4 linked regions of the Schizosaccharomyces pombe genome follow. Changing the gene in region 2 together with the main gene of any one other region gives a genetic interaction. Each region holds a gene or a part of one and is shown on either strand. Other genes may lie near its edges. The genes, in order: pof9, arg3, hbs1 and prp38.

Region 1 (7,569 bases), on a different chromosome or scaffold from region 2:
TAAATCAGTAATACTTGCTAATTGCATGAAAAGGAAAATAGCATCCCGTAATCTTCAATTGCCCTTCAATCAATCCACGATTTTTTAAATCTGGAAATTTTCGCACAACAGATTTCAGGTACAAGGTAGTCAACCCAACAAGAAAAAATCGTCTCTTAAGATCGATTTCTGCCTGAAAATACCGGTTTTCTCGACACCTGGATCTGTAAACAAAACCCCCAAGTTAGGGTCGCCAGAAAAAAATGGGGTGGTTAGGAATATTACAAACCACCAACGCAAACGACAAATAGAGAGCAAGAGCCCAACAAATTTTGACCACCGAGGATTTAATATGAAAATCGGTAACCTTCCTTACAGTCCAAATCAATTAAAAAAAATAATAATGTTTGGTAAAAACTCGTCGTAGTAGCACAGTAACTTAATTCACAGGGGTCAGGAATATAAATTGGTCAATGTGTGTACTTTATGTAATTGCGATACAGGAAGAAGGAAAAAAAATTTTCTCACTTATTTAATCACCGTTGTGTTTTCCTTGTGCTGCTTTTTTTTATAATTGGCTTACCTAGAGGAATTAGTAAAAATAGAGATAAATTCGGAAGTCCGAGGTGGCCGAGATATTTATTTATTTCACTTACTTAGCGGACAAAATAAAATCCTTCTCTAGTGCGCACGCGGAAATTAGCTTACCAAGCAAAGTTGATCACTATTTCACCTAGCCGTCCCTTTCCAAAGTCCGAGTCGCAGGGGCAGCTAAAAAGCGCAACGCTGGAACTCTGGATGGTCGGATGATAGAAAAAGTTGTAATTGGAGGCACATTGACTTCGGGTAAAACAGATTCCGAAATGGCGAGAGCAGCACTTTGCCATCCGCCGGCTGCAACTGAATAGCAAGTTCCTGAAAAGTGAATTTGATGTGGAATGGAAACGATGTTGCGTGCGGTGCGTGGATCAGAAACAATGCTGGGATCAGATGTCTGTTCTTGCAAATGAAGAGAACCCAAACCTAAACACCCACAATAACGTAATTCAACACCCCACGACCATATGGAATGATCGCTTGTTAAGTAAAGATGATGATGATCGCCATGCGCCAATTGCTTAATTCCTCGGTTCTGGAGAAAGTCGTGGATAACCGGGTCATCATCGACCTGCTTGGTATTAGCATGACCCATGTAAACAGTATTGCCATCGTCCGATAAACATGTGAAAGTTTCAAAGCTGCCTGCTAAATGCCAACCTTGATGGGGGTCGTGCGAAGCGAACCTCTTCAATTCTCTTCCTAGCGTGTGTTGTGTAGCTTGGTCCAGGTCTAAACGAAACACGGCGCCTTTTTTCTGAGGTGATGCGACAGTATACACTAGGAATCCTGCGCAGTGAACATAATCGTTCAGCACGAATTCCTTCATCGATGCCTCTGGCTGGAAAAGTTGCGCTTCACTTTCTCGTCCAGTGTGCCAGACAAGAAAGCCAATGCCCGGCACATACGCCGAATGCGAGTCCCAACCTGATTTAAAATTAGCAATTCTTCCGCGATAGGCTGATAGCATATTTTGTTCATCTGTCAAGCAAATTCGTGTTTTTAGAGATACTTGATACAAGTGTCCCGTCTCACCGAGTGCAAGACAAAACTCTCGACCAGCATGGATTTTCACAATTGGCTCTAAATCTCTCATCAATTCGGGCCCAACATTGTTTGGTACCCCCGTAACATATAAATTTCCGTTTTCATTTAATAAATACATCCCATAACCTCTAAATTCCGCATAGGGAATAGTTAGTCATTGTAGTGCAGTCAAATAAATTCCTGTATCTATGCGCTTACCCAACTTGAACCTGAATAGTAGAACGAACGTCCTTCCCAGTCAATGCACCAGGACGATCTCGAGGATACTGATTTGTATTGACGACGCGGCCCAAATAGTTTCTTATCTGTTGCCCCCATGAGTAAGCGTATCCTCGGTCTTTCCATACAGCATAGGGTCTTTTGTAATTATCATCAACAACTGGGACTACATTGGTGAGACCTTGGACCCGTGCACAAAATCGATGCCAAATTGTTTTGTCGTCAAAAACATACGAAAGTGACTTGCATGTTTCTGACAAATGAACTATATCTTTATAATCAAGATATGTACTAATTTCTAGCAATATATCGTAAGAAAGCTCCAGGAATGGTGATTTAGCCATAATGAATCTCGCATGGGTAGTAGTATATGAATACCTCTGAATATATACAAGGGAAACGGTGTTGAAATACGTCAAAAGCACATGTTTTCTGCAACTCTTAATAACTAGATACAATTGTATTATTTACAATTAATAAATGATAATAAAGAAAGGTCTATGAAACGAAGGTGTAGTCATTGCACGAATCAATTTCAAAGTCTATCAGCATAACGAAGCAGATTTAAGAGTAAATGATCGGCTTTATAAAAACCAATTGAGTAATTCTTGTCTGTTTTAAAGAAGAAAGCTTCTGAACTGCCCCTTTTTTTTTAAGCATTCATTGCACACCCTTTCCAATGAAGCATTGATCATACCAAAATTGTAAATTAAGGAAAAAGAAAAATAAGAGTATCAAAAATAAAGAAGTAGGGTATATAAAAGACGGCTCCTACTACAGAAAAAAAGACCACGCGCACAAGTAAAATATTGCTTTATAAAAACCAAGCCACAGTAGCTCAGAGTTCTTGACAGCGCCTTGCGATTGAAAAATTCTTGGAAATTCTAAATTAATTTTTGTTTTCCAATAGCTTTTTTTGTTGTTGCTCATCAATACCCAAGAGGTAAAGAGCGTTTTGCAAAGATGGAAGATTGATTTTCGAATCAGCCTAATTAAAAAAAAAAATCGAGTTAGTAAGATCATTAAAAACATAAATTTGTAAAAAAATTTCGAACATACCAATAATTGAACTTTGGGTTTAGCTTTGAACGCAATTCCTAAACCGGATTCGGCCATCATGACCAAATCGTTAGCTCCGTCCCCAACAGCCATCGTTTCGAGCTTATTTAAACCCAACTCTTCCCTCTTTTCACGCAAAATGGAAGCTTTTCGTTGTCCATCTACAATTGCACCTTGAACTTTTCCAGTGAGGAATTTACCATCATCGGAAAATTCAAGTACATTGGCATATGCATAGTCCAAGTCCAGTTGTCCCTTGACATATTCAGCCATTGGAACAAATCCACCACTAGCGACAACAAGAGTCGCACCCATTTGCTTAAGGCAATGACAAAGCTGTTTAGCTCCTGGAGTGAAAGTAATTTTGCCAATGACTTTATTTATGACATCGACGCTCAACCCTTGTAGTAGAGAAACGCGACGACGAAGTGATTCTTGAAAGTCAATTTCCCCATTCATTGCAAGAGATGTAATCGTAGCAACCTCTTTCTGGATGCCTGCTTCTGCCGCGAGCTCGTCAATACACTCTTGTTGAATCAACGTCGAGTCCATGTCAAATACTACAAGCTTCTTTTTAGTGGAAAATGTTGCTTCACTCAAGCAATTACAGTCTACATTCTCAGTAGCAGAAATGCGGTTACAAGCGTCTTTAGCATCTTCAAACGTTCCTTTAAGTTGGCCTGATACTAAAGTCCACTGTTCCCCCAGAGAACGAGTCTTCCCATCTCTAAACAAGGAGGAAATCTGTTCAAGCACATTTGGACGATTTGAGGAAACAACTATGGCTGCGTTGACCATGCTTATTAAAAGGTATGAGTGGGTTTGCTAAATTTTCTAAGTTGAAAAGCGTTGTTTTCGGCAAGTCCCATTTACTAATTACTCGGCTATTGATTAAGCTTAACGTTAAACGACAACAAGTACTAGGTCAATTTAAGTTATTTGAAAATCTCAAACAAGCTTATTTTTTGTTATTGTTTACAAATTTATCATTATCTTCAAAATGCTGTATAAATTGTGAAGTTGGTAAAGTGGTGCCTAAACTCCGTTTTCAAACACAGGTTAATAAGCAAATATTTTTTTTATACATTAAAGCAATAAAGCAAGAAATCATAACTAAGAAGATGTTTGGAAATATTGCAATATATCAGGGCAAATATTCCAAAAATGAGAGCCTACCATAAAGTAGAGAGTGAGATATTTGTAAAGTGAAAAAGCACTAAAAAAATATTTGGCAATGTAATAATTGTTCTCTTTCATTCCTAAAAGGTTATACACAATTTAATGTGCTTTACTTAGAGAATCGCTCAAGTACCTCTTCTGATACACCTTTAACGGGAAAAGTGCTGTATTGAATAGCAGAAGGTGCCTTTCGAGGTTCTTTACTCCTATCTCCTCGAGGATAATACTTGTAGCTATAATCAAGACTCTCATCACTTTTTCCGCTACTGCTTTTGGTGTCTTCCCAGGGGTGAGCATTTTTTGAAGGAATTCGGACTTGATCTTCATGTTGTACCAACAAGCCCCGCTGTCCTAAAAAACTGTTAGCTACAATCATTTAATTTAAACAATCATATGTAAATGCGCTTGTAAAATAAATATTCTGTAGGAAAATTTTAACAGAATATTAAAATTGAGTATAATGTTTCATTAACTGCGCTGATTTCTAATTTTCTACTAATTTTTAACATACCAAGCATATAACCAGCAACTCCAAAGGTATAAGTCATGACACACCAAGTTATCTAACAGCAAACTGATCAGCTTACGAAATAATCAACTCAATATATTTTTCAAAAAAAAATTGAGCTTACAAATAGTTCTGGATATTCTCTTGACCAGCGAACCAGGCGGTTCGACATAATTGAGCGCATAATTGACATGATGGTTCCAAAAATAAAAAGTTCTTGTTCGCTTGAATAGTTTGATTAATTGTTTCGAGATGGAAAGGATCTAAAATCCTTTTATGATTGTAAATGTCAAAATGAAATACGTAGGCGAACATTCGCAACATTTATGACAAGCATCAATATTTATGGGGATCGCCACCTGACGCAGACAAGACGTAGCAACGGTGCGCATTAAGAGATTCAAATTTGAATGGATAATAATATCATAATAATCACCAACTCCTTCTACTAAAGTGGTGAAAGAAGCAACTTTCCAATATTTCTAGATTTTCCAGCGTTTGCAATCGGGATCGAACCGCCCTTGTATTTATATTGCTTTATACAGTTTTATAATACTTTTCAGATACTACCTCTACCCTTGTATTATACTATAGAATTTGTTAGGACACTTATTTACTAAACTTTTCCTAAGATTATATTTGTAAATAATAAGAAGAGAACACTAAAAAACTTCGCAAACAAATAAAAATGGTTCGTACCATTATAAATAAATATAGTCATTTTTCAAAATTTAGCTGCCATGAGGTTAGTAACTTAATAGTAGTTGCTGACCGCAAATGTTTCTCCAGTAAAGTAGGTCCAATGTACAAGTACGTTTAAAAGCGTCATTGAGATTTTCTAAGGAATAAGAATTTAATTCATTTCCCTTTAAAACAGGAAATAAAACCAAAGGACCGCTTGGAGTCATGCATATTGAGGAATAACAATCTAATTCGATAATCTTGTGAACTACATTTCCACTAAATACAGTGAATGAAGCCAGGATGGTTTTTCTTAGATGTAGATTAGTAATAATTTTTCTTCAAAATTTCATCCATAACTGACCATATACCGTGTTTCTTGAGTTATTTGTTTACAAGCCATAGAGGTTATTGGGTTATTTCGGGGCTAGTGAAAGTATAGAGATGATCCTTTAAATTAGCCCTTTCATTAATAGCTTCGCGATAATCATAATTTCAATAGTTGCAACACTCTAATAAACTTTTAAGATCTTTTTTCGTTGCTTCCGTACCTTCATTTCTAATATTTTCTCAATTACACCCTCCCATTATTTTCCTGCTAGTTATTTAGCCATTTTAAAAAAAAAAAAAAAAAAAAAAAACATAATACACAAGATGAAAATGGTTTACTAGCTAGTCTACTTCCCATGATATTGGTCTTTTATCTTAGTCTTTGGAGTCTTTATCGAGTCATATATTACTAATTTTTCCATATATTATCCACTTTCTTTACAAACCCGAAATTGCACGGATAGTATAATTTATTAAACTTGATTTTTCTAACTTTGAGCCCTGAATTGTTGTACTGACAGGATGTTCCAATTACAGTATCGATGAAATATATTTAAATAAAAAGTTTGAAAAATATAAATACTAATATATTGGCACTCTTAAATAATTTTTTTTACATTTTATTCGTAAAAAAAAAATAAGTACTTTATTTATTATTATTAATTTTATTTCTTCGGTTAGTATTTTTTTTTTTAGCATTTCATTTCATATTCTGTTTTTATTTCCCTTCTCTTTTTAATACACTCTCATCGATTAAATAGGCGCCATTCCAAATATTAGTTATTAGAGTCACATTCTCTAATTGTTTATTTATTTTGATTTCTTTATTTGCTTAGTAAACAAACTTTGGCGGATGCTAATATTTACTTCACCCTCCATCGCAAAAGGGGTTCATATCCTTACCGACAACAAAACTACAAGATATAATACCAGGTGTAAAAATAGCTGTTTCTTTGCCATGTTTGTTGTTTAGAGAATATAATCATGAGCTATGAGAAACACAGTGATGCTAAGGCATCCCGCTACGCGTGGAATCAGCCATGGAATCCATTTGAGGTGACTTTGTCTGATCCAACGTATCCCATGAATTTGGAAGAAAAGAACCAAATTCCTTATAGATTTCAATCCGTTCCTGATGATGTTCCGGAAGTACCGCATATTGAAAGCCGATATAAGAATTTACCAGGAAACAATATCTATTTATGTTGTGGTCGATTGCAAATGTCATCTCAGTACAAAGCTTTCCTCATTAGCTTGTTTGCCTTGATTCTTCCAGGAGTCCTTTTCTTCATCTTTTCTGCTTTTTGGCTCTGGCATCATGTCTCTCCCGCTGTCCCTATTACCTTTGCTTACCTGTATGCCTTAGCCGTTGTTTCCATGTTCAAGTGCTCGACTGCTGATCCAGGAATTCTTCCTAGAAATGCATATTCTTTAACTTATAACCCTGCCCATCCCTGGTCTGTAATTCCTGAAGACCGTAAAGTCCTTGTTGGATCCACTCGGTCTGACTCTGTCTTTGTTAATACAGTTTATTGCCATACGTGCCACTTATATCGTCCTCCACGTGCAAGCCATTGTCATTTATGTGATAATTGTGTTGAATACCTTGATCATCACTGCATTTGGTTAAACACTTGCATTGGTCGTCGAAACTACAGATATTATTTTATTTTTTTGTTATCTGTCGTTCTTTCAGCTTTGTATCTAACTGGATTGGGGTTCTATACTTCTATAGGAAGTTTTCATGAATCCACAGATACAAATTTTGCGGCGCATCTTCGTCGTCCATGGGCTGGCGTATCTTTCTTCCTTGGCATTTATGGGGCACTTGGAGCAATACTTCCTGGCATCCTTTTCTGTTACCAGTGCTATTTAATATCTGTTGGTCAGAATGTTCATGAATACTTACGAGCAAAGAGTACAGAAACTGAAGATGTACATCCTTTTCATGACAGCATATGGCTCAATTT
Region 2 (7,773 bases):
TTATTTTTTAAGTAACATATATAATTTTAAATAAAGAAATAAAACTTATACGCAATTAAGATTATTGAAGCTTAACTATTTACCACTTTATTCTACGTACAAAAATTATTTCGTTGATGAAAATCTATACCATAGAAAGCAACTTCAAATCTGTTTATATAAGTTTTGAAGAGTCTGCGACGCACAGACAGAGGAATTTTGTATAACTGAACAAGAACTAAATTAAAATGTGTGGAAACTTAAGATGGTACTCGTACGCGACTTACTGCTGGCTATTTAATAGCAAGGATTAATGCATTTAGTTCAAAATATTTGTAACAAAAAAATATCCAAATGGTACACAGAAAGAATAAAAATAACAAAAGAATGGGCTACAAAAAATATAATCAATCCAAATGGATACCGGCATATTCATCGTAACCACAGGACAGATTGAGATTCTGGAGAGCTTGAGTAGCAGCACCTTTAAGTAAATTGTCGATAGTAACTACAATGACTGCACGCTTTCCAGAAGAGTGCACACCAAAACCACCAACTGAAACATGATGCTTGTGTGCGTTGTCCTTGACCAAAGGTACATCTCCTTGAACATGAATTAAAGGCTCACCATTATAACGGTCTTGGTATAAGTTACGAAGCTCACGGGAAGTTATACTTTTCTTTAACGGAACATTAATAGTTAAAGTAATTCCTTGGAACCATTGAGCAACGTGAGGAATAAAGGCGACAGGTTGCTTTAAACGATAAGAAATTTCACGTTCATGGATGTGATCAGTTAATGAGTAAGGTATCAAATTGTTTGTCAATACATTCAAGTCATTCTTCGGAGAGGGCTTAGTGCCAGCCCCAGAATAACCAGATACACCAAAAATAGAGGGCTGGCCGTCAATCAAAGAGAGTATGGGAGTTAAACCGACTTGCGATCCAGTAGCGTAACAACCAGGATTGGAAATACGTTTCGAGTTACGCAAAGCTTCACGGTCATTTAGTTCAGGAAGACCGTACTGCCACGAGGGCTCAAAACGGTAGTCCGCACTTAAATCAACAATGACACTTTTACCATTTGCAGACGTTAAAGCATCGACATAAGGTTTGCATACACCGTTGGGTAGGGCCATGACCCAAGCATCAACCGCTCCCTCTTCCTCTAATTTTTTAACATCATCTGTGGACAAGTTGACATACTGAATTTCTTTCTTAGTGTAGCCAGGAAGTTTGGTGCCTTCCAACTCACGAGAAGAAACATGAGATAATTCGAGATAAGGATGAGTGTTAATCAATCCAATCAAGTTCTTTCCGGTATAACCACGGGCTCCAAGGAGAACGACTTTTGCTGGCTTCGATGAGACCGCCTTCAAAGGTTTTTGGGTCTTCTGAGCCTCAGCAGAAAAAAATCGTTTTCCACCCTTTAAAAACAAAGAACGATTCATTTTTTTGTTTTTTGAAAATAAAGAACTAGTTGAGTAACTTCGTTTTTGATTGATCTGTGAAGAGGAAGGGTTGTTGGTGGTAGATGAAGCAGTAGGGGGTTTAGTGGATTGGGTCTGAATGATAGCATCGGCAAATGGCTTGTCAGACTGAATGAACTTGGAGATTTTATTCAAATCTTTTACACCGTACCAAAAGTAGTAAAAATTATTAGCAAACAAAGTACCTTCGCTTTTAGAGAAGAACCATTCCAGATTCTTGGCTGAAGGTTGAAGACGCCATAGCAAAGAAGGGAAGTCTGCTTTTAATGTTGTTAATATGCTATCAACAACATTGTTTAACCAATTATTGTCGGCGGCACCAAAAGCTAAGAGTACTGGCAAGGATGAGTCGGTGGTGTCGACAATAGCAACAGATTCATTGAAAGAGTCACTATAAATACGAAGTTTTCTGTCTTTCAGAGTATCCTTGAACTGTTTCAAGCTTTCACTAGGTGCGGCTAAAGAATTTTTTTGAATGATCAAATTTTCTAGAGCAGCGTCTGGAATGCTATCCAACGAGTCATGTTTGTTGATGACAAAACCGCGACTAATCAAAGTACCAGCGCCAGATTCCGTAAAAAGCTCTTTTTGCAAATCCTTCGTACTAATAATGGCTACGGAAGATGTACGGGGAAGAGTATCAAGTAACTCTTTGATTTCTTTGATTTTGAGCTTCGTACCATACTTGACCCATGGTTGCTTCATGAGGCCATCGTACTCCCTATCCAAATAGATGCTGCTAATTTTTTTCTTTGTTTCACCGTTGATAAGTCCACCTTTTTCATTGAGATAGACCACCTTTAGAGGCTTCAATACGCGAGCAAGCTCACCAGCAGTAATGTCGGCGTTGACATTCAACAATTGACCAGAAGCAGTTTCGGCCATAGACGTAAGAATAGGGAGGGTTCCAGCACGAATACTGTGTTCAATAGGAGCTTTGTTTACCTTGACAATCTTGCCAACATACTTGTATTTTTCTTTGTCGAGATACTCTGCCTGAAATACACCACCTGTAATGGGACGAGCACGAGTTCCCAACTTTTCCAAAGCATCTACAAGTTTCGCATTTTCCTCTAAGAAAACTTTACGAGCTACAGAAAGAGTCTCGGCATCGGTGATTCGAATACCATCGCTATACTCGGGTTCAACATTTCTGCTGGCAAGAATTTTGTTTAATTGGGGACCAGCGCCATGCACAACGATGGGATAAAGACCCACATGATTCAAAAAGGCAAGACTTTGTGCCAATGTGTCTAATTCGTCGGTGATAATGGCACCACCAACCTTGATAATAGCGAAACGTTGAGCTTCGAAGGAAGTAAAGTATCGTAGGTATTGCTCAACTTCACGACGGCTTCCGATGGAGGAAAGAATTCTAATGATGGCATCACGATCTTGTTCAATTGGTTTCGCGAGTGGGTTTAACGGTTGTTGTTGACCCGGGGCAAAACTGCCTTGAAAACGTTTGCTTGCAATGACTGATGCATTGGAACATAGTAAGCTCCTTTTCGTACAGTGTTTCGCTCCATTCCGTACAAGACCGGACTTGACAATTTGTTGCAATTCAATAAGCATTGCCAAATTCTAGTGATATTCTATGATTTACTGTAGTTGGTAGAAGGCAGTTTGGTTGGTTTCAAAATTGGAAAATCATTTGCTTCGTAAACGTAGCTATAATTCGTTAAAATTTGATTGCTGTATCTAGGGATTTGCTCTGGAGATAATCACTCAAAAAGATGAGATCGATAATGTTACTTGTTGGCTGAAAATTACATCGGAAACCAACAGTTTACATGAAAGTGCTGCAAACGTGAGACATGGACATTTAATGAATTAAAGCTATATAAATGACACTGTAAAAGCAACTCATTTGCCGACAATGAATCTATTTGTATATACATTATTTAATACTAGTCCTAACTGACACAGTACAATATTCATTATTTCTATGCAAGCCAGTTCAATATCTTGATTTATACATGAAAGCATTCTTTTGAAACAATATTTTGTTTTCTATTTGATTTCGCGTTGAATAGTCCCAATGACCCTGATGAGACAAAAGCACTTATCATAAAATTTATTATCTAAGATAATCTCGTTAAAAAAAAAAAAAAAAAAAAAAAAAAAAAAAATTTGGCAAGAAGCCCTTCTCTTTCGTTAAAACTTGTTTCGCTTTATGCAATACTGTAAGTGTAAGCTTGTAATATAGCGAATCTGTGAACTCATTGTTCATTTCATGGTAGTTGTTGATTTCACAAGCATGCTGAGTTATCAATATAGTAACACAATTGGTTTTATTTCAGCTCGCTTGAATATAGTGTCAAGAGATAATTGAATAAACAAAAAAAATAACTACACGTTTTTTAGATACATTTTATTTACAATGTATTGGTTCTTTAAAGAATGGGTGGTAAATAAAAAAAATATTACAAGGTCGAAAAAAATTCATCCCTTTTCATTAGTTCTATAATTAAATGCTAAACCCATGAATATTCTTTTACTGCTAATCAATTAACGATTTTGGTATTTAAAAGCTATTGCTGATAAGTATTCTGACGTTCTGTATCAATATTACCATGAATAACATAAGAAAAAGAAAGGAAATAGAATGTTTATGAGTAGTTTTTAATTTTTGACTTGTTTTATCATATTTCATCAACGTACTAGCTTGTTTGCAACTGAACTCTAGTGTACGATAATGTAAAAATTTTCCATCTCGTCGAAAATCCGCATACGATATATTACGGCGCCAATCTCGCAGTCTGAGAGAGAACTAGATATCGGCTATATGCAATCTCACCCTGAATATCTAAGAAATTACCAGTAACTTGTGGGTTCCTTGTAGTCGACTACAAAAACCGTATTTTTGATATATTTAGTCGAGAAGAATTATTCAGTTTGCAATTGAAAATGTCTTTCAAAAAATTTCCTCGTCATTTACTATCCATTCGTGATCTTAGTCGCGGAGAGATTGTAAAGTTGATCGATCGGTCTTCTGAAATTAAACAAGCTTATAAGCAGAATTTTCAGAATCGCCGTTCTGTTCAAATGAGTGGTTTGTCGTCTCAGAATGTCGCCATGATCTTCAGTAAGCGTAGCACTCGTACTCGTGTATCAGTCGAAAGTGCTGTCAGTTGCCTTGGCGGCAATGCCATGTTTTTAGGTAAAGATGATATCCAATTAGGAGTGAATGAGTCTTTATACGATACTTCAAAAGTTATATCAAGTATGGTTTCTGGTATTGTTGCTCGCGTAAACAAATATTCAGATGTTGCTACGCTCGCTAAACATGCCTCTTGTCCTGTTATTAATGGTCTTTGTGACACGTTTCATCCTCTCCAGGCGTTAGCAGATTTACTCACTATTAAGGAAACTTTCAAAAGCTTTGACGGTTTAAAAGTTGCATGGGTAGGTGATGCCAATAACGTTTTACATGATTTGATGATTGCAAATGCCAAGGTTGGTATTCATACTAGCGTTGCTAAGCCCAAGGACGTCAACGTTCGCGACGATATTTTATCAATCGTTAACGAAGCTGCGAACGAAAACGGTTCTACTTTTGAAATTGTTAACGACCCCAAGGTTGCTGTTAAAAATGCTGATATCGTCGTTACCGACACTTGGATTTCTATGGGTCAAGAAGCTGAGAAGGAACAACGTCTTAAACAATTTACAGGATTCCAAGTCACCGGAGAGATCATGAAGCTTGCCAAACCTAGCTGCAAATTCATGCATTGTTTACCCCGTCATCCCGAGGAAGTGTCTGACGAGGTATTTTATGGAGAGAACAGTTTAGTTTTCCAAGAAGCAGAGAACCGCAAATGGACCACTGTTGCTGTCTTGGAGGCTTTGCTTGTCAACCGTGGTGAAATTCTTCCTCCTGCCTCAGCCTAAACTGAAATCCTTAATTTCATTTTTATCTGGGGAATGTGCAAACAATGCCAACTTTATAATTTTTTTTATTGGGCGTGCAAATTGTGATATTCATTTTTGAAATTTTATGTACTTTGTTTCACAAAAAGAAAATTGACTTTTGAGAAAATTTTTTAATTGACAATTACTTTTCAGATTTTTTATGCGCAGGACACAGGCTTCTAAAGACGTACTTATACGTTAAAAAAGGGGATGGATCAATTTGGCTCATTAGTCCAACAAGCTTTGTGTAAAATTATTACCCGCTTAATGCTATCCTCTTAACTAGATATTTCAAGGTATCAAGCAATCATAGTATTAAGCACTATTATATGCAAAATACAATTTAAAATTAATAGAAACTACAAATAAGCGCAACACTCATAAGGAAAAAGCTTTGGGACAATAAAGCTTTCGTCAATGCGGAATCTACGACAGAAAGAAAACTTAGTGTAGGCATCGAAATTTATTATATTTCAAGCATGTATGCTAGTAAAATAAAACGTAAACTCATTGATTCAAGAAATCTATAGAAAAAAAAGATCTGGGCAAGTAGAGTGTGCATCATCGAAATCCGGCTTCTTTCATAAACTTATCGTATTGCTCTTTAAGTGCTTTGCTTTTATCAATAAATGGCTTTTTCTTGTCTTCCGCCAATTCCTTCCACGCCTTTGATGCATTTTGGGTCTCTTCAACGAGTGTGGAAATGGCTTCTGGAATACCTAACTCTTGACGTAGCTTGGGATTGTTTCGAAGCTCCTTGTAAAAGAGGATAAAAGCAGAAGAAGGTTTTTTAGGAACATCTGGATGACGAAGTCTGTAATAGCGACTGCCCGTGCTGTGAGCCTCCTTCGAGCGACGACGATTTTCACTATCGATTTCTGTAGGTGTAAAGGATCGTAGAGTCTCCATAAAACGCTTTTTCTCAGCATCGAACTGCTCCTGGAGTTTGTTTTTATACTTTTGGATCTCATCGGCAGTCAAAGCTTTGTATTTTTGACGAATCATCTCAAAGCGCTCAGGACCATTACCAGCACCTTTTGTTTCAACCAACATTTGATTCCAAATGGTTTTCAGCCTAGGGGGGATCAACTTCTGTAATCCATTCTTTTCGGCAGAAACGAGAGTAGTGTGAAACTGGCGTATTCTAATTGCAAATACCATTTTGTGAAAAATGATCAAAGATAATGGTGCTTGGTAAGTTAGGTAAGGAGGCATTGCGTCAAACAGACGCATTCAAGTACTGAGTAAATATCGGGTACGTAATATTGTACAACAGACAAATGAGTAGTAAAAAGACGGTTTACTCAATTTTTAATAGCATAGAATAAAGGCGTTAAAAGCAGTTTGTTTGTTTCTTGTAACCACAAAGGTAGTTTCTTTTTCTAAGTGAAACACTTCGACATTCAACATAACAAAGCGTTGGTCCACAGAATCAAAAAGGTACTCCAAAATGAAAAGGAAACAAACGCATCTTCATCTCTTGAGCAACAAAACAGCACTCATTTCTATACTTTTTCCAACCTTCCTTATATACCGTACCTCCCAGCACTCTCATATTCATTACTCACCATAGACTATATTGTAGCTGTGTATTTAGTATAAAAATGTTTCAGTGGAATCGTTGCTATTCACTATTCATTACAGTGTATTCTTTCAGCACGTTATTTTAATTTAATAAACCGAAATAACATGCCCCGGTTCTTCTTTTGTCATATTGGCATCTTGGGTTACTGAAGAGATGGGGTATACGTTGCTTCAATCTCATTAGTTCTAGAGCCCCTCTATACCCCGATTTCTAAACGTCAATCCAACTTAGTTTTAAGGCTGTCGGCCTAATTTAAAGTTCCTTTCTACAGCTACAAAATTTGTATTAAAGGGACGAGAAGCCCCCGGGTATTTGTTTGTTTTTAATAACATCTAGTGTGTATTAACTTTTCTTGGCTGTGTTTAACCAAGTCGTAAGTGTCTGCATTTTTTCGGTATTTCTTGCCGCTTACCACAAACTATAGTACCTTTGAAAAGTTGGCTGTTTTCCAGTAAATTTGCATCGCTTTGTCCGAGAAAGGAGCCTTTTAGCGCCATTTTGACAAAGCTTGTTTAAAACATCTCGTTCGATTACCACCAACGTGTGATTTTGTGATTGTACCCAAACTTTGAAATCCTCACAAATAATTCGATAACTATGACTGTTACTCCCATTAATCCTACTAATCAGCCATACAAATATGTATTTGTAGTCATCGGCCCTGCCGGTTCAGGAAAAACGACGATGGCTAAGGCGGTATCTGAGAAATTGGGTTTTGAGTATATTGAGGGTGATGATCTACACCCCAAAGCAAACATTGAAAAAATGAGTCAAGGCCATCCTTTGAATGATAACGATCGTTGG
Region 3 (8,270 bases), on a different chromosome or scaffold from region 2:
AATCATTTGGCCACAACGAAAAGGGTAAATGTGGGGCAAGTCGTTACTGTTTTTGGCTCTTGTTTATCAGTGGCTTCCTCATTACAGCAAATTTTACCAGCTATACCAGATTTGATTAAAGGAAAATTTAGCTCTCATTTTATTAAAACATTATGTGAAAGCCATGATCCTATAGAGGCTGCGAAGCGTTCAGCGGCTAAAATAAAAAGCATATCGTTTGAACGAGGTTTTCGCTTTGATAATGTCTCCTTTGCATATCCTTCTCGAGATGAGAACTTGTTTAGTTTAATTAACGTGTCTGTGTTCATACCTTTTGGAGAGTTGGTACATATTATTGGTCCAAGTGGCTCTGGTAAGAGTACCTTTATCAGTCTTTTGTTGCGTTACTTTTCTCCAACTTACGGAAATATATATTTGGATGACTTTCCTTTGGAAGAAATAGATGAACATGTCCTTGGCTCTACTATTACACTGGTGTGTCAGCAACCTGTCATTTTTGACATGACTATACGTGAGAACATTATTATGAGGAATGAAAATGCTAGCGAGTCAGATTTTGAAGAAGTTTGCAGATTGGCACTTGTTGACGAATTTGCTCTTACATTTGATCAAAGCTATGATACACCTTGTAAGGAAGCTTCGCTTAGTGGAGGTCAACAGCAAAGAATCGCATTAGCTAGAGCTTTGCTTCGTGACACGGAGATTTTAATACTTGATGAGCCAACTAGCGCTCTTGATCCAATCACTAAAAATCTCGTCATGGATGCTATTCGAGCTCATCGCAAGGGAAAAACTACATTAGTAATTACTCACGATATGTCTCAAATTAACAACGATGAATTGGTTTTGGTGATAGATAAGGGTCATTTAATACAGAGATGCGCTAGGAAGGAATTGGTGTTGTTTGAGGATTTTGAAAACAATGTATCAATCGATGAAAAGGTTTTGAAGGAAGAAGCTGATAATCCGTTTATTTTACCAAATGAGGAATCACTGCTTGAAAAGTATTGGATTAATTACAATGAAAGTTTTTCGCAGTTATCCAGAGAGTCATTATTCACCAGTTTAGAATCTCCATTCACCGATATAGAATCTCCTACAATTGTGTCGCGAAGAAAAATTGTTGAGCAAAGGAAGTTGCGTATGGAAAAAGAATCCTTTCAAGAAACGAATGTAGACCAAACTTTCCATTTATTTGATGACAAAGAGCATGCATGTTCGTTAACATTAATCTTTAAGAGTATTTGGAAAGTCAAAAAGCTAAGGTGGTTTTTTCTTCTTGGTTTGCTCACGTCTTTGATACAAGGTGCTAGTGTTCCTATATTTGCTTACGTTATTTCAAAGTGCTTAAATTTGTTTATGCAAATTGATCCATCGATTGGAGTAGCATTTTGGTCTTCAATGGTTTTGGTCGTTGCTGCTGGATCGGGGGCTTCCTATTTTTTTAGTCATTATATTTTTTCAATATCTGCTAAAATTTGGTGTGATCACTACCGGTTATTAGCTGTTAAAGTACTTTTCACTCAGGATCAAGCTTGGTTCGATCAAATCGAAAATTATCCACTCGTGTTATCTAAAATACTTGTTAACAATATCAGTGATATGCGAAACATGATTAGTTCTCTCATTGAGGAGGTTTTTATTGCATTTACTATGGCGATTATTGGAATAGCATGGTCTTTCGCAACTGGCTGGAGATTGGCTGCTGTACTGGTTGCAGTAAGCCCAATTTTATGTCTGACTTCCAGAATGTTTTCATATATATATGTCAGCACTGAGCGGATGTGTCAAGATGTTGTAATATCGACTACCTCTATCCTTCATAAAACGATCGTCAATTTGGATACAATTAAAGGATATTCGGTGCTATCTTTTTTTCGAGAAAATCATAAAAATTCTTTGCGCAAAAGCTGGGAAGCTTTCAAAAGGCGAGCCTTTTGGACTAGTCTTGGGTTTGCTATTAACAACTCTCTTTTGTATTTTGTCAGAGCTCTTCTCTTTTATTGTTCTTCCATATTTATATCCAAAGAATTTTATACTGTTGAACAAATGGTCCAGGTGCTGTCTTTGGCTACTTTTACATTGTTGATGGCTTCTACTTGCATCATGTCTTTGCCCAATGTATCAGCTAGCCGAATCGCGACTAGTAGAGTTCTGAAACTCAGTTCATTGAAGCCAGGAAATCTTCATAAAAGTGGATATCTAAAATTTCCTCTTGTAGGAAAAATAGAATTCGATGGAGTATCGTTTGCATACCCAGACTCCGAGCGTAACCACTTAGCGCTGAATAATGTATCATTGTCTATTGAAGCTAGAGAAAAGGTTGCAATTGTTGGAATTTCTGGATCTGGAAAATCTACTTTGGTAGAACTATTGAGAAAGACTTACCCTTCAGAGGATATTTACATTGATGGGTATCCGCTAACTAACATCGATACTAATTGGTTGCTTAAAAAGGTTGCCATTGTAGATCAAAAACCTCATCTTCTAGGTTCTACAATTTTGGAGAGTTTGCTATATGGTGTTGACAGAGATATTAATTCTGTTATGGATGCACTTGACAAAACTTACATGACTGAGGTAATACAAAACCTTCCTAACGGCTTAGATACTCCTTTGCTTGAATTTAGCAAAAATTTTTCCGGTGGTCAGATCCAACGCCTTGCGTTTGCAAGAGCTCTTCTACGGAACCCCAGACTTTTAATATTGGATGAATGTACGTCTGCTTTAGATAGCAAGTCAAGCCTTCTTCTAGAAAAAACAATTCAAAACTTGAGTTGTACAGTTTTGATAATTACACACCAACCCTCATTAATGAAATTGGCAGACAGGATCATTGTAATGGATTCTGGAATTGTCAAGGAATCTGGCAGTTTCGATGAACTAATGAATCGACATACACATTTTTGGAAATTAATACACCGCGGTGAATGGATTGAGTGATGATGAATTTTAAGTTAATAATTTATTTAATGAAATAATAATAGTATTCTGTCTAATAGTTTTGAAGTGCATAATTTCATCGACTTTAACATAATTCTTTAACAATGCCAGCAGCTACCGTATCACCACTTCTTCTTAGAATAAATCTTCCCAAAGCAGGGCATTCTTCTGCTAGACATAAAGGAAATAATCCATCCAAAAAACTTATACGAACTAATGCGCGCTTCCTGCTTGCTATATGCCTCGAACGTTTATTGTTAACTGTAACAATTTTTAAAGATACCGAAGTCACAGTCCTACCTAAATGAAGGACAAGGGTAGAACCTGATAAAATTGGACCGTGAATATCAAATGTCTGGATTTCAGCAACAAATGATCTTACCCTACGAACAGGATTTTCATAGTTTGATAGTATATCCCCAGGACGAAGTTGATTAACTTCAATGTCAGCCAACTGTAATGTAACTGTATCACCAGCAACAGCCCAAGTCGAAGAAGGATCACTATTACGAATCACATTTTTTACATATGCGTCTTCCTGAGAAGAAACATCATACAAAACTTGATTGACCTGAACATTACCTGCTTCGACCCTCCCGGTAACTGTAACACTACGTGGAGAACGATAAACATCATCGATACTTAGTCTCAACGGTTTCCGATATGGCTTTTCAGGGGGAACCAGCTGATCTAAGGCGCTCAAAAGAGTGGGACCCTTATACCATTTGTAAAGATCAGATGAGTCTTTTTGGATAAGGTTAGTTCCCGAAATCGCAGATATAGGTACAAAATGTACATTACTGGTTTTAAATCCAACCATTTTGATCAAAAAATCAGAAACTATGTTTTTTATTTCTTGGAAACGGTCCTCCGACCAAGACATAAGGTCCAATTTGTTGACACTAACAACTATTTCCGAGATTCCAAGGGCTCGCAACAGATAGGCGTGCTCCCTTGTTTGTCCATTTTCCAAAAAACCACGCTCAAAATTGTTTTGAGAGGAGTCGACAACTAACACAGCAAAATCAGCTGAAGATGCGCCGGCTATCATCCCTGAAATGAAATCCCGGTGACCTGGCGCATCACCAATTTCATAAATTTTTTTATCACTCTCGAAAGTGGTGGAAGCAACATCCATTGTAACACCTCGTGCTCGTTCTTCCTCGGTTGTATCCAACAACCAAGCATACGAAAAGCTACCTTTTCCTGAATTGGCAGCCTCGTTGTGCAACTTTTGCATTGACCGACTATTGATTTCTCCTAACTCAAACATTATTCTCCCAAGCATAGTACTCTTTCCCGAATCAACATGTCCTGTAACAACTAAGTGAACCACGGGTTTAGGATTGGATTGTTCAAATATTTCGGGAACAGATACTAGATCCGTCGGGTTTTGCTTTTTAATTTTCTTTTTCTCCGGTTGGTTATCGCTTTCGGAGGAATTTTTCATCTTTACTTCACCGTTCGTCTGAAATGCTGGTTCATCATTTTTGTTTAGGCTTAAATTTTTAATACCATTAGAAGATTCATCCAATGGATCTTTGGCATCCGCTAAAGCTTCTTTCGATTTGTTCTGTTTTTTTTCTTTTTGGGAATCAGTATTCTGTTTTTCTTTAGCTCCAGCTTTGGAACTAGCCTTTTGCAAAAGATAGTTGACTGATTTCTCTACGTCAAAGTAATAGTACCAAACTGTATCGGCAATTTCTTTTTCTGAAATAGGAACACCTAATAATGTCTCCCTTACTGTGGCTACAGCAGACCTGAATTCCTCTAGATATTGTTCGTTAATATTTTTAAGAAATCATTTACTAACCTTCCTGCTCTTCAGTCAATTCTTCCTCTCCTGGCTCCTCGTCGAGTTCATAATCTAGAAAGACGTTAAAAAAAAATACAAACTATTACAATATCAAATGGTACGAACCATCAAGATCAAGATTTTTTACATCACGATGCCTCGACATATTTTGAATTTGTTATTTTTGCCAAAAGTCAGAAACCAATAAATACTTCTTGTTTTAAAAAAAATGGTTTCTATTGATAAATAATAAATATATGTATAATATTTAAGTTGGCATTTGACACTTTGCTCTAGAGTAAATTCTTGGAAATATTCATACATCATCAGCAGCTTTAGCGAATTTTAGCAATGTCGCTATACTGAATTGAGTGCTGCAACAAGAGTTGTTAAAAATTCTCAACTGTAACAACTGAGTGTTTTAGGGTGGATGCCTTTTATTAAGCCGGACCGGACCCATTCTATTCATTATATAGTAAATTTCTCTCATTGTCTTCAAATGTTTTATGAACTATTGAATTCGGATGAGTAAGAGTAGGGAAAACATAAGTCTGTTTGTAGTGTCAAGTATCAAAAGTTGTTAAACATTAAATTCAAAAATTTTGGCGTTCATGTAACAAAATGAAATATTTAACTTTTTAATGACTAAAAAATGATTTACTTAAGTTTTCTAAACTATGCCAATATTAAAGTTAACAGAATCGTCAAATTTTCAGGAAATTTTAGTATGCCATACTCTCGTTAGATATGTTTGCAGCAATATTTAATTAATTATTTTCCTTTTTTTTATCTTTAAATACTGCTCATAGATATTAACAAAAAATGTTTATTTACAAATATGCTAGAATTTGTAAATAGAAAAAAAAGCTAAAATAGCTAATAATTTTAAAAAATTATTTAGTAGTTCGATTTTCAAAGAATTCTTTCATTAATTATTTGTTTTTACTTCTTAACTGCTCATGAGCATGTATATCGACAGAACACTCAACAATCTTGTTATATTCATCCTTTTAACTATTTAAAATTTATATTAATTCTGTAATAAATTTGTATGTTTGAATAAGCGATTGAAACTTCTACTCATTATAATTTTTCAATTGTAAACAATATTTCATGGATTTGTCTTAAAGCTACTGCGCTAAAACTTCACTGGCCTCGCTAAGTCGTTTAACACGCTTTTCATTAGATCGTTAACTCGCCATGAATGGTCTGGTATGCAACATAATCTTCGTATTCATATTTTTACGCGACCTGGCAAAGAAAGCTGGGCTTGCAGTTAAATTACTTTTTTGAAAGGTTCCTTTTGATTTATGCAAAGTTGTTGACCAAAAGGTTAAGAAATATTTTTAAATTGGATTGTGATCCACTGTTGTATTTCTAATTATTTATCGTTCTATTCAAGTTAAAGATTTTTTCTACAAGGTGGTAAAAACTACGAGTAATAGCCGTTTTATTATTTATGTTTCTCTTGAGTCGGTTTTCAGACATTATAAGCATCCATCCATCCAATTTTTGGAAGCCTACAAAGGAAGCACTGGCTGAAGAAATCCATAAAAAGTATGCTAACAAAGTGATACAAAACATTGGACTGGCTATTTGCGTTTATGATTTTTTGAAAATTGGGGAAGGAATAATTAAATACGGAGATGGCTCTTCATACATGAATGGTAAGTATAAGTCTGCTCACTTTATTTCATATGCCAATTCGCATTATCAATACGAAAGGCTGTCAGGATAGTGATTCAGTGGAAAAGAAAAACTTAAATGGTTCTAATTAGATTAGTGGTTTTCCGCCTTATAATCTTTCGTCCTTTTCGAGGTGAAGTAATGCTGGGAAAAATAAAATCGTGCAGTGAAGAAGGTATTCGGGGTATGTTAAATGTGTTTGTTTAAATGCTTGTTGTTAATGTTTTTCTCCCAGTAACTATTAGCTTTTTTGACGATATTTTCATTCCGAAAGATATGCTTTTCGATCCATGTGTCTTTCGTCCGGATGAGCGTGCCTGGGTATGGAAAATTGAAGGGGAGGACGGCTCAGAGGGAACCGAATTGTATTTTGACATTGATGAAGAAATACGCTTTCAAATAGAATCTGAGGACTTTGTTGATATTTCACCTAAGAGGAATAAAAATGCAACCGCGATTACAGGCACAGAAGCATTGGAATCGGTATCCCCATATACATTGATTGTAAGTTTTTTTTTTTATGTTTAGGGCGAAACTTGTGTCATTATTTATGAAGGGTGCACCATCTATTTGCTAGTATACAAGAAAATATTTTCTGCTTCTCTCAAATCGATAGAATTTACTAACTATATATTTAGGCTTCCTGTTCTCGTGATGGACTGGGCATTCCTGCTTGGTGGAAATGAGCTATTGGATTCGAATCAAAGTCAAACAAAATTTAAAAGCATCAATTAATCATTTACTCCAAATTGTATAAGTAGACTTTCATTCATGTTCTATTTTTCTTCATCTAATGCATCACCAAAATTTCCCAAAAATCACGTGGTCTAGAAAATGGTTGCAATTCTATTCTGTACATTCATCCCGTCTTATAAATTTCATTGCCGAAGGTTTTTGCACAAACCTTTTGGGGTTTTATTATTTCGTTGGAGATACCTGTGTTGTTTTTAGACATGTCCTACTTAAAGGTTGCTTTTAGTGAAAAAGGGTTATTTATAAATCAACTACTTCTTTTTTTTTTTTTTTTTTTAGCTTTTCTCTATTTAAAGGTATATTATTGTATCGAAAAATCAGTTTGTTTACATCTTTGCACAGCAACACATAATGGTTATGAAAACGGCGTTCTTCAAAATTTACCTTCTTGGATGATCATGGTATTTGCTAACAGGGGGCTACTTTAATAAAGGTACTTTCATGTCAAGCTTAAATTTAATCTGGTTAAAAGAGTCATATGTTCTAAAACTTTATATTCAATCTAACAACTGAAGATTCCGCACTGCGTAAAGGAATTTTTCAATGTTAAACAAACGATCCATGCTATGTATGATTTGATTGATTTTGGTATTGTGTATACTAATGTTTAGTAGTATTACCGAATATGGAAAATTTAATTAATTACACAAAAGAGCCGATTCATTTTATAGCATAATAGAATATCAGTCTACTTTTTATGAACAATGTTTGCTTCTTCAGCAAAGAATGTCCATCGCCAACCCACGTTACTCTTTAGTACAGCCGATTTTCGTTATATGTCAGAAAATAGCAACCTTAACATTTCAGCGCCTTGCTATTTGCTATTTGAAAATGACCAACAGCAATTTGACAAACTTCTAATTTTGTTGTATTTGTGCACAAATGCATGGACGTTATAAAGGATTCTTTCGGCTACTGTACTACTTTAGGGATAAACGAATATTTTTGCAAAATTAAAAATACACATACCCACAAAATCATTCACTTTCTTACTTCTAGTACTATTATTAATTTACGGAAACATGCATTAAGCAGCTTTTATGAGTTCCTTAAGCCTCGATAGCTTTTGCTTTACAAACTTTAATGAAACTTA
Region 4 (6,898 bases), on a different chromosome or scaffold from region 2:
GCTTGACATGATGTGAGATGGGTGGAGATGTGGAATGGAATGGAATGAATGGATGGACATGAAATGAAATTTACCAAGTAAACAAGAGAGTTAATAATAGTAAGAATGATTTGTCTCCTAGTCTCAGCAATAGCAACACTTGACAGTGACTGCAGTCTCATACTCTTCTAGTCAAGTCTCATCCTCTTCCACTCTCTCAATTCCTTTTTATCAATGTTTCTTCCTCTTGTTATGTACACAAACGATGATCTCTTCTCTCACCTCATTGCTGGACTAATATTACTCGTGGCCAAGCGAAACACAAGTGGTACTAGATAACCAAAAAATGATAAAGCATTCAATCAATCAAACCACTTACGAAATTCATACTCCCGTAAACGAATGCCGGTCGGACGCATGGAAAATCATCAATACGTGAGAGAGCTACTTAGTTGTGCACTTTGTATATGTCCAAAAATACTTTTCATTTCACATACCTGCTTGTGTAAAGACAGTGATGAAATGCGGTGCAAAGTGTCTATTCTTACATTGATGGTAAAGCTAATTCAAGCATGCTTGGAAGAAGAATTGCCTTGCATTTCTTGATCATTTGACCCAGGCGACAACTATAAAATAAGAATACTACCGAAGATGCAGATGGGGTGTGTGGGCACAACACCATCGAACCGAACCGAGACGGCCAGACTGTGATAACAAAAGAAATGCATTAGTTTAGTTGGCTGGTTCAAGTTGGTTGAGTAGAAAAATCCATCACTCAAACTGGGAAGTAGGGATGGCTGGGAGAATGGAGAAGCGAGACGAGACGAGACAAGACAAGAGGAGATGAAATGAAATTAATGAAAAGAAATGAATAGAAATGAAATAGACATATGAATAGTATAGGGCAGGTTAGATGTTTGTATTTATAAATGTTTAATGCTTAGGTTTGTATTTATGTTTACGTTGGTAATGTTTCTTTTGTTTGTGTTTGTGCATCGGGTGAACGAGTTGGTTACCGCCGCCGCCGCTTCCTTTTGCCTTGACACACACCACGCAACGTGTTACGGTTCTTGAACGGAATTGCGTACTTCGATGCAGAGCGCTATCGGGGGGATTGGGGATGGTAAATGGAAGAAATCAAAAACTTCTTTTGACGTCAACCCCTAAAACAGGGGACGGTGATTGGTGGTAACCACGGACCGGATAGGTATCGATATGCACATCAGGTGAGAAGTTTTTCCGAGGCCAACTCCGGCTCCATGGTATATAATAGAGGGTTGCGCGCTACTGTTGCAGTATCATACTTCCAAAGGTCGTATAGAACACACACACAAATTAGCAAAATGGGAATTCTCGATATTGTACCTACTGGTGTTATTACAGGTGACAACGTTTTAAAGTTGTTCACCTACGCTCGTGAGCACGGATTCGCCATCCCTGCCATTAACGTCACCTCCTCCTCCACTGCTATTGCTGCTCTTGAGGCTGCTCGTGAGGCTCGTTCCCCCATCATCTTGCAAACCTCCAACGGTGGTGCTCACTTCTTTGCTGGTAAGGAATCCTCCAACGAGGGCCAAAAGGCCTCCATTGCCGGTTCCATCGCCGCTGCCCACTACATCCGTTCCATCGCTCCTTTCTTCGGTGTCCCCGTCGTCATGCACTCTGACCACTGCGCCAAGAAGCTTCTCCCCTGGATGGACGGTATGTTCGAAGCCGATGAGGCCTACTTCAAGATTCACGGTGAGCCTCTTTTCTCTTCTCACATGCTTGACTTGTCCGAGGAGCCCAAGAAGGAGAACATTGCTCAAGTTAAGGAGTACTGCAAGCGTGCCGTTCCCATGAAGATCTGGATCGAGATGGAGATCGGTATCACTGGTGGTGAGGAAGACGGTGTCGACAACTCTCACGTCTCCCACACCGAGCTCTACACTCAACCCGAGGACATCTGGGATGTCTACCGTGAGCTCTCCTCCGTTACCCCTTACTTCTCCATTGCCGCCGCTTTCGGTAACGTCCACGGTGTCTACAAGCCCGGTAACGTCAAGCTCCAACCCGCTCTTTTGGGTCAACACCAAGCCTATGTTAAGGAGCAACTCAAGACCACCAACGACAAGCCCGTTTTCTTCGTCTTCCACGGTGGTTCCGGTTCCTCTGTCAACGAGTTCCGTACTGGTATCAAGTGCGGTGTCGTCAAGGTCAACATTGACACTGATACCCAATTCGCCTACGTCGAGGGTGTCCGTGACTATGTCTTGAAGTACAAGGACTACCTTATGACCCCCGTCGGTAACCCCGAGGGAGCTGACAAGCCCAACAAGAAGAAGTTCGACCCTCGTGTCTGGATCCATGAGGGTGAGAAGACCATGACCAAGCGTGTTCTTACCGCTCTTGAGGACTTCTACACTGTCAACACTCTCTAAATTTGTGGTTTTTGAAAGATGGAAATGATTGAATAGACGGTGGGCTTCATTAAAATTATATTTTTTTGTCCCCTTAATGAGAGTTCATACTGTTTTGAAATTACGTGTTTGAATATAGAGACATTGTTTTTTAAAATTACCATTGTAAAAGCATAAGAGATATTTGAAGTAAAGTAGGGCAAAGTAAGTTAAGAAATTTTTTTGGATTGGATTTGTAAAGTGTTTTTCAAGCATACTGTATATTGTTAAGATTTTTCTTTTTATCCTTTTATTCATCTTCCTTAATTGGTTAATGTGTTCTTAGGTATATAAATTTACAAAAAAAAAATTTCCGATTCCACATGACAATGAATGAATAAATAATATGTCCGTGCGTTTATTTGAATTTAATATATATCGTTTGGCAAATCTCGATGAGTAGCTTAAAACAACATAATCGCTTGAATTTCATGTGCTTTGTGTACACAGTGTGCATTGTTTAGTAGATCAACTTTTTCTTCTTTCATTGCAATGAGTACGGGCATTTTCCCTTTTCCTCCATATTTCACGAATCCATGTTTTTTTTAGATAACCCTTTCTCAATCAAAACTCAGCATGCTTCTTCAGACTTGACCACTTATATTGTCAGTACACTACTGCTCCTTAAAAGCTTACTCCAAGTCAAGACATCAAGGTTGGAGCAATCATTCTCTTCATGAGGTACTATGGCTGATTTTCTTGCTAGAGATTATCGCTCTCAAGGTGAGGCGGCGCATGAAATGCTGCCGACTTTCCTTATAGGAAAAATCTTGAGAGAACGCATAGTAGATTCTATTTACTGGAAAGAACAATGTTTTGGATTGAATGGTATGTGTTCTTCATTGACAGAAAAGGAAAGTGTTTTTACATATTAGAGTTCAAGTACGATTACTTTCCAAATCGATATTTTGAGTGATATAGCCTAAATGAACTTGATTTGGCAAGCAAAGAAACCAAGTATAGGTACTTGCTGTTTTAATCAGTCCTCAAACTGTTATTCCAAATTCACTGACTAATACATCTTAGCTTGTTCATTGGTGGATCGTGCAGTACGGCTTGAATATATAGGTGGTCAGTATGGAAATCAACGGCCCACCGAGTTTATCTGTTTGTTATACAAGCTTTTACAAATTGCACCTGAAAAAGAAATAATTCAACAGTACCTATCTATTCCTGAATTCAAGTATTTACGTGCCCTGGCTGCATTTTACGTTCGGCTTACATGGGATGATGTGGAAGTGCATCAAACGTTGGAACCGCTGTTAAGAGATTATCGGAAATTAAGAATTCGTACTAATTCTGAGATCCGATTAACATATCTGGATGAGGTTGTTGATGATTTGCTAAATGCCGAAGTAGTTTGCGATATTTCCCTGCCCCCATTGCGAAGTCGACTCCAACTTGAAGATTTGGACTTGCTTGAACCACTTTCATCTTCTTCAGACGAAGAAGATGATGATGAAGAACAAATTAGTAAATTGGAGAGCAATGAAGGTGCTGTAGATCGGAATATTTAAGGATAAGTAATATACAAAAAAAGAGTAAAGCGAAGCACGCATTTTGTGATGCGTCTACGATTTAACTTGGAATGACTCTACAAGGAAAAGTTATGGATTGAAATGGTTTTACACTTGAACTTATTAAAAAACAATTTATGAATAACAAACATCTAATCAAATAGATTTGTATATTAATATATATCGATTTCACATATTATCGCAAATACGCTATTTTTTCTTGTAAACAAATTTCGATAGACTTAGTTTACAGCACACTAAATATTTATAAAATGTCTTTGATACGCCACGGAATTTTTTTCACACCATACTTTAACGAATCACCCCATTCCGTCTATTTTCTTACGTTTCGTTAAAAACATGTCAGTCCACTTCTTTTTTGCTCACATATGAATTAACACGACTTTTCTCTTTCATCCATTACCATACTCGAGCAATCCTAACTTTGCTTATCGGGTGATCGATTTTAAATTTTTTTACTTATAGGACGTCCAGTAGCCTTTATAAGTTCATTGACAACAATTGGGTTGTTGCTGAGAGTTTGTTTACTGCGCTCGACTCTTGCTATAACCTAATCTTAAACGATTATCAAGCTGGATTTCCTTCTTGCTAAGAACATTATTTTATTTTACAACTCATTCAAGAAATTATTTTGCTATCTATCGCCTTGGATAGCTTTTAATGCGTCAAATTTTGGATAATTTGTAGCTCGATTAGAAAATTCGCTCAACATCCTATACAGTCACAGAGATAAAAAACCCTAAGAGTTAAATTCAATTTCTCTTTATTGTTGGATTTTTTAACTCGCTGTTAAATTCCGCTTGGTTCTAGCTGGAAATTTTGTTAAATATGCAAAGCTCAATTCCGTCAGTTTCCGTGTCGGTCGCTTCTCCTGCAATGGAAACTCCAACAAAAGCTTCGCCTGACAGCAAATCACCCAATTCAGTGGGTGCGATTCCTTCTTCATCCCCTTTGGCTTCATCGACAAAGGCTTCAACTTCTACTCCCTTTGTGGAGAATTGTTCCAATCTGTTGTGTGATTTGGCTAGCATTGTCGAGGACTCACCTCCAACCTTGACCAACACCTCGTTGTCTCCCCATTCGTTTTCCCTTTCTGATATGGAGTCATCAATGAGCAATTGGCTTAACCCTTTTGCGTTCGACAATACGATGAACTCGGCGCCTCCTCTGTTTACTTCGACCAACATGGGCTCCCCTAACTCGTTAGAAAACTCTACAAATCCTCTTCTCTCTAATTGCGGCTCTCCAAATTCATTTCAGAATGAGACCTTTACCGGCCCATCATTGAATGAGTTCGATGCCGATGATAAAATTCAGCGCCAAATGAAAATCCTTCACTCTGTTGATACAATCGATCCATCGACTGTTCAAAATTATCCTTCAGCTGATATGTCAAATCCAGAAGTCAAATTGAAAACCGAAGAAATTATTACACCCATGGACACCACTTGCAAGCCTGAACCTTCTGCCAAGAAAATAAAGTTGTCTCCTTCCTCGGAAGATTCTTGCTCAATTCCTGAAACATTACCTTTTTCGGCCCCCAAGTCTAGAGGCTCATTATCTCCTTCTGAAACCCCAGATTTTGTAGCCGGTCCTGGAGGAAAACCAAAGAAGACAGCTCATAACATGATTGAGAAGAGATACAGAACCAACTTGAACGACCGAATTTGTGAATTGCGTGATGCAGTTCCTTCACTTCGTGCTGCTGCTGCACTTCGTTGTGGTAATTCTCTGGACGATGAGGATTTGGGGGGTTTGACACCCGCTCGTAAGCTTAACAAGGGTACAATATTGGCAAAAGCAACTGAGTATATCAGACATTTGGAGGCCAAGAATAAGGAACTACAGAAGACTAACAAGCAGCTTTCAGATAGGCTGGCTTTCTACGAAGATCCTTCGATGGCTCCTCCTTCTAACGATACTCGAGCCGTTAACTCTGTTAATGTTGTTTCCTCATCTGACTATTCTGTTCACCAATCTTCTCGACCAAACCTAACCCAAAGAGCTTTTACTTCCCCAACCCTAAATACCATGGGCCGCACAGCACTAAATGGCATGGTTGGACTTGGTCTATTCAATTATTTTGGAAACGATTCTTCTCAATCTGTTTATGGTTTATTCGCTCTTCCACCTTTTCTTATGTCTCCATTCACAGGTACTGTTCTCTTTAACATGCTGAAAATTGGTGTTGTTTTACTCGGTTTATTCTATCTTTTGCACGATAACTCTCTTTTCAAAGGCTTCAAGGGTGAAAAGAAATCTAAAGTTAGTACCAGATCTTCCATGTCACCATCCTCAATCTTATTCCGAAAAACCGTATTCGAAAAGTATTGTTTATTGGACCATTCTACTTCGACTATTTCTCTATTTTTTGGATTACTGATCTTCACTCTTAAATCTGCTTATGGCTATTTGACTCATCGTTTGAGTGCTCTTTATACCTCCTCTGAGAATTGGGTTTATAGTGAGCAACAACTTGCTGAAGTTCGCAACATGGAAAAGCTTTTGGATGCCCAATTAATGGGTGGTGATGCTAAAGTTGACCGTTTGAGGCTCTTAATGGTATTTGCCAGTTCATTTTCTCTTCCTCCTTCAAGTCATACTTGTGCTTTACAAGCAATGTATTGCCAACTAATTTTTTCCAACACCTCTGTCCCATCCGCTATCGTTTCGAAGTGCGTTGCTTTCTTCTGGAATGCTGCAAAGAAACAACATAGCAAAAGTTCTGTACACGCGGAGTTACGTGAGCTTCCTGAGTGTACTGCTAACCTAATTGAAAACTCCCACGCTGACGACGTTTTCTCTCCGAATATGGTTGAGCGATTGTGGGTTCTAGCAAAGTGCACCCGTGACTCTGCTCAAATGTCAGATAGTATTATTAGCTCCTTATCTGATGTTTTGGTTTTATCTCCTCTAGAGGTGCTTGCCTCATGGTATGCCGCT

What was found.
Region 1: mutations in arg3 (region 2) and pof9 together harm fitness more than expected from each alone (negative genetic interaction), as found in Schizosaccharomyces pombe (one large-scale study listed by BioGRID).
Region 3: mutations in arg3 (region 2) and hbs1 together harm fitness more than expected from each alone (negative genetic interaction), as found in Schizosaccharomyces pombe (one large-scale study listed by BioGRID).
Region 4: mutations in arg3 (region 2) and prp38 together harm fitness more than expected from each alone (negative genetic interaction), as found in Schizosaccharomyces pombe (one large-scale study listed by BioGRID).

The regions. Positions count from the first base shown.
Region 1 is NC_003423.3:1,866,464-1,874,032, reverse strand, and holds pof9 (F-box protein Pof9), read right to left. Parts: upstream 2,201-7,569; 5' UTR 2,187-2,200; coding exon 1,822-2,186; exon of another isoform or gene 1,752-1,821; coding exon 713-1,751; downstream 1-712. Other genes in the region: phosphoserine phosphatase Ser2, read right to left, coding at 2,732-2,830, 2,902-3,699; SPOM_SPBC3H7.08C (uncharacterized protein), read right to left, coding at 4,190-4,431, 4,592-4,643, 4,713-4,781; palmitoyltransferase Erf2, read left to right, coding at 6,584-7,569.
Region 2 is NC_003424.3:2,269,633-2,277,405, forward strand, and holds arg3 (ornithine carbamoyltransferase Arg3), read left to right. Parts: upstream 1-4,288; 5' UTR 4,289-4,379; coding exon 4,380-5,363; 3' UTR 5,364-5,884; downstream 5,885-7,773. Other genes in the region: arg11 (N-acetyl-gamma-glutamyl-phosphate reductase/acetylglutamate kinase), read right to left, coding at 387-3,044; cmb1 (cytosine-mismatch-binding protein 1), read right to left, coding at 5,946-6,545; idn1 (gluconokinase), read left to right, coding at 7,567-7,773. UniProt on the Schizosaccharomyces pombe protein: Ornithine carbamoyltransferase involved in the synthesis of arginine from glutamate via ornithine and the urea cycle.
Region 3 is NC_003423.3:2,591,098-2,599,367, reverse strand, and holds hbs1 (translation release factor complex GTPase subunit), read right to left. Parts: upstream 5,024-8,270; 5' UTR 4,905-5,023; coding exon 4,865-4,904; exon of another isoform or gene 4,811-4,864; coding exon 4,757-4,810; exon of another isoform or gene 4,714-4,756; coding exon 3,029-4,713; 3' UTR 2,944-3,028; downstream 1-2,943. Other genes in the region: M-factor transmembrane transporter Mam1, read left to right, coding at 1-2,943; DNA-directed RNA polymerase III complex subunit Rpc25, read left to right, coding at 6,198-6,405, 6,522-6,608, 6,660-6,928, 7,063-7,110.
Region 4 is NC_003423.3:1,687,045-1,693,942, forward strand, and holds prp38 (U4/U5/U6 small nuclear ribonucleoprotein complex subunit PRP38), read left to right. Parts: upstream 1-3,093; 5' UTR 3,094-3,103; coding exon 3,104-3,245; exon of another isoform or gene 3,246-3,443; coding exon 3,444-3,934; 3' UTR 3,935-4,179; downstream 4,180-6,898. Other genes in the region: protein mug124, read right to left, coding at 1-161; fructose-bisphosphate aldolase Fba1, read left to right, coding at 1,323-2,399; transcription factor Sre1, read left to right, coding at 4,784-6,898. UniProt on the Schizosaccharomyces pombe protein: Required for pre-mRNA splicing and maintenance of stable U6 small nuclear RNA levels. Implicated in the formation of stable and biologically active snRNP structures.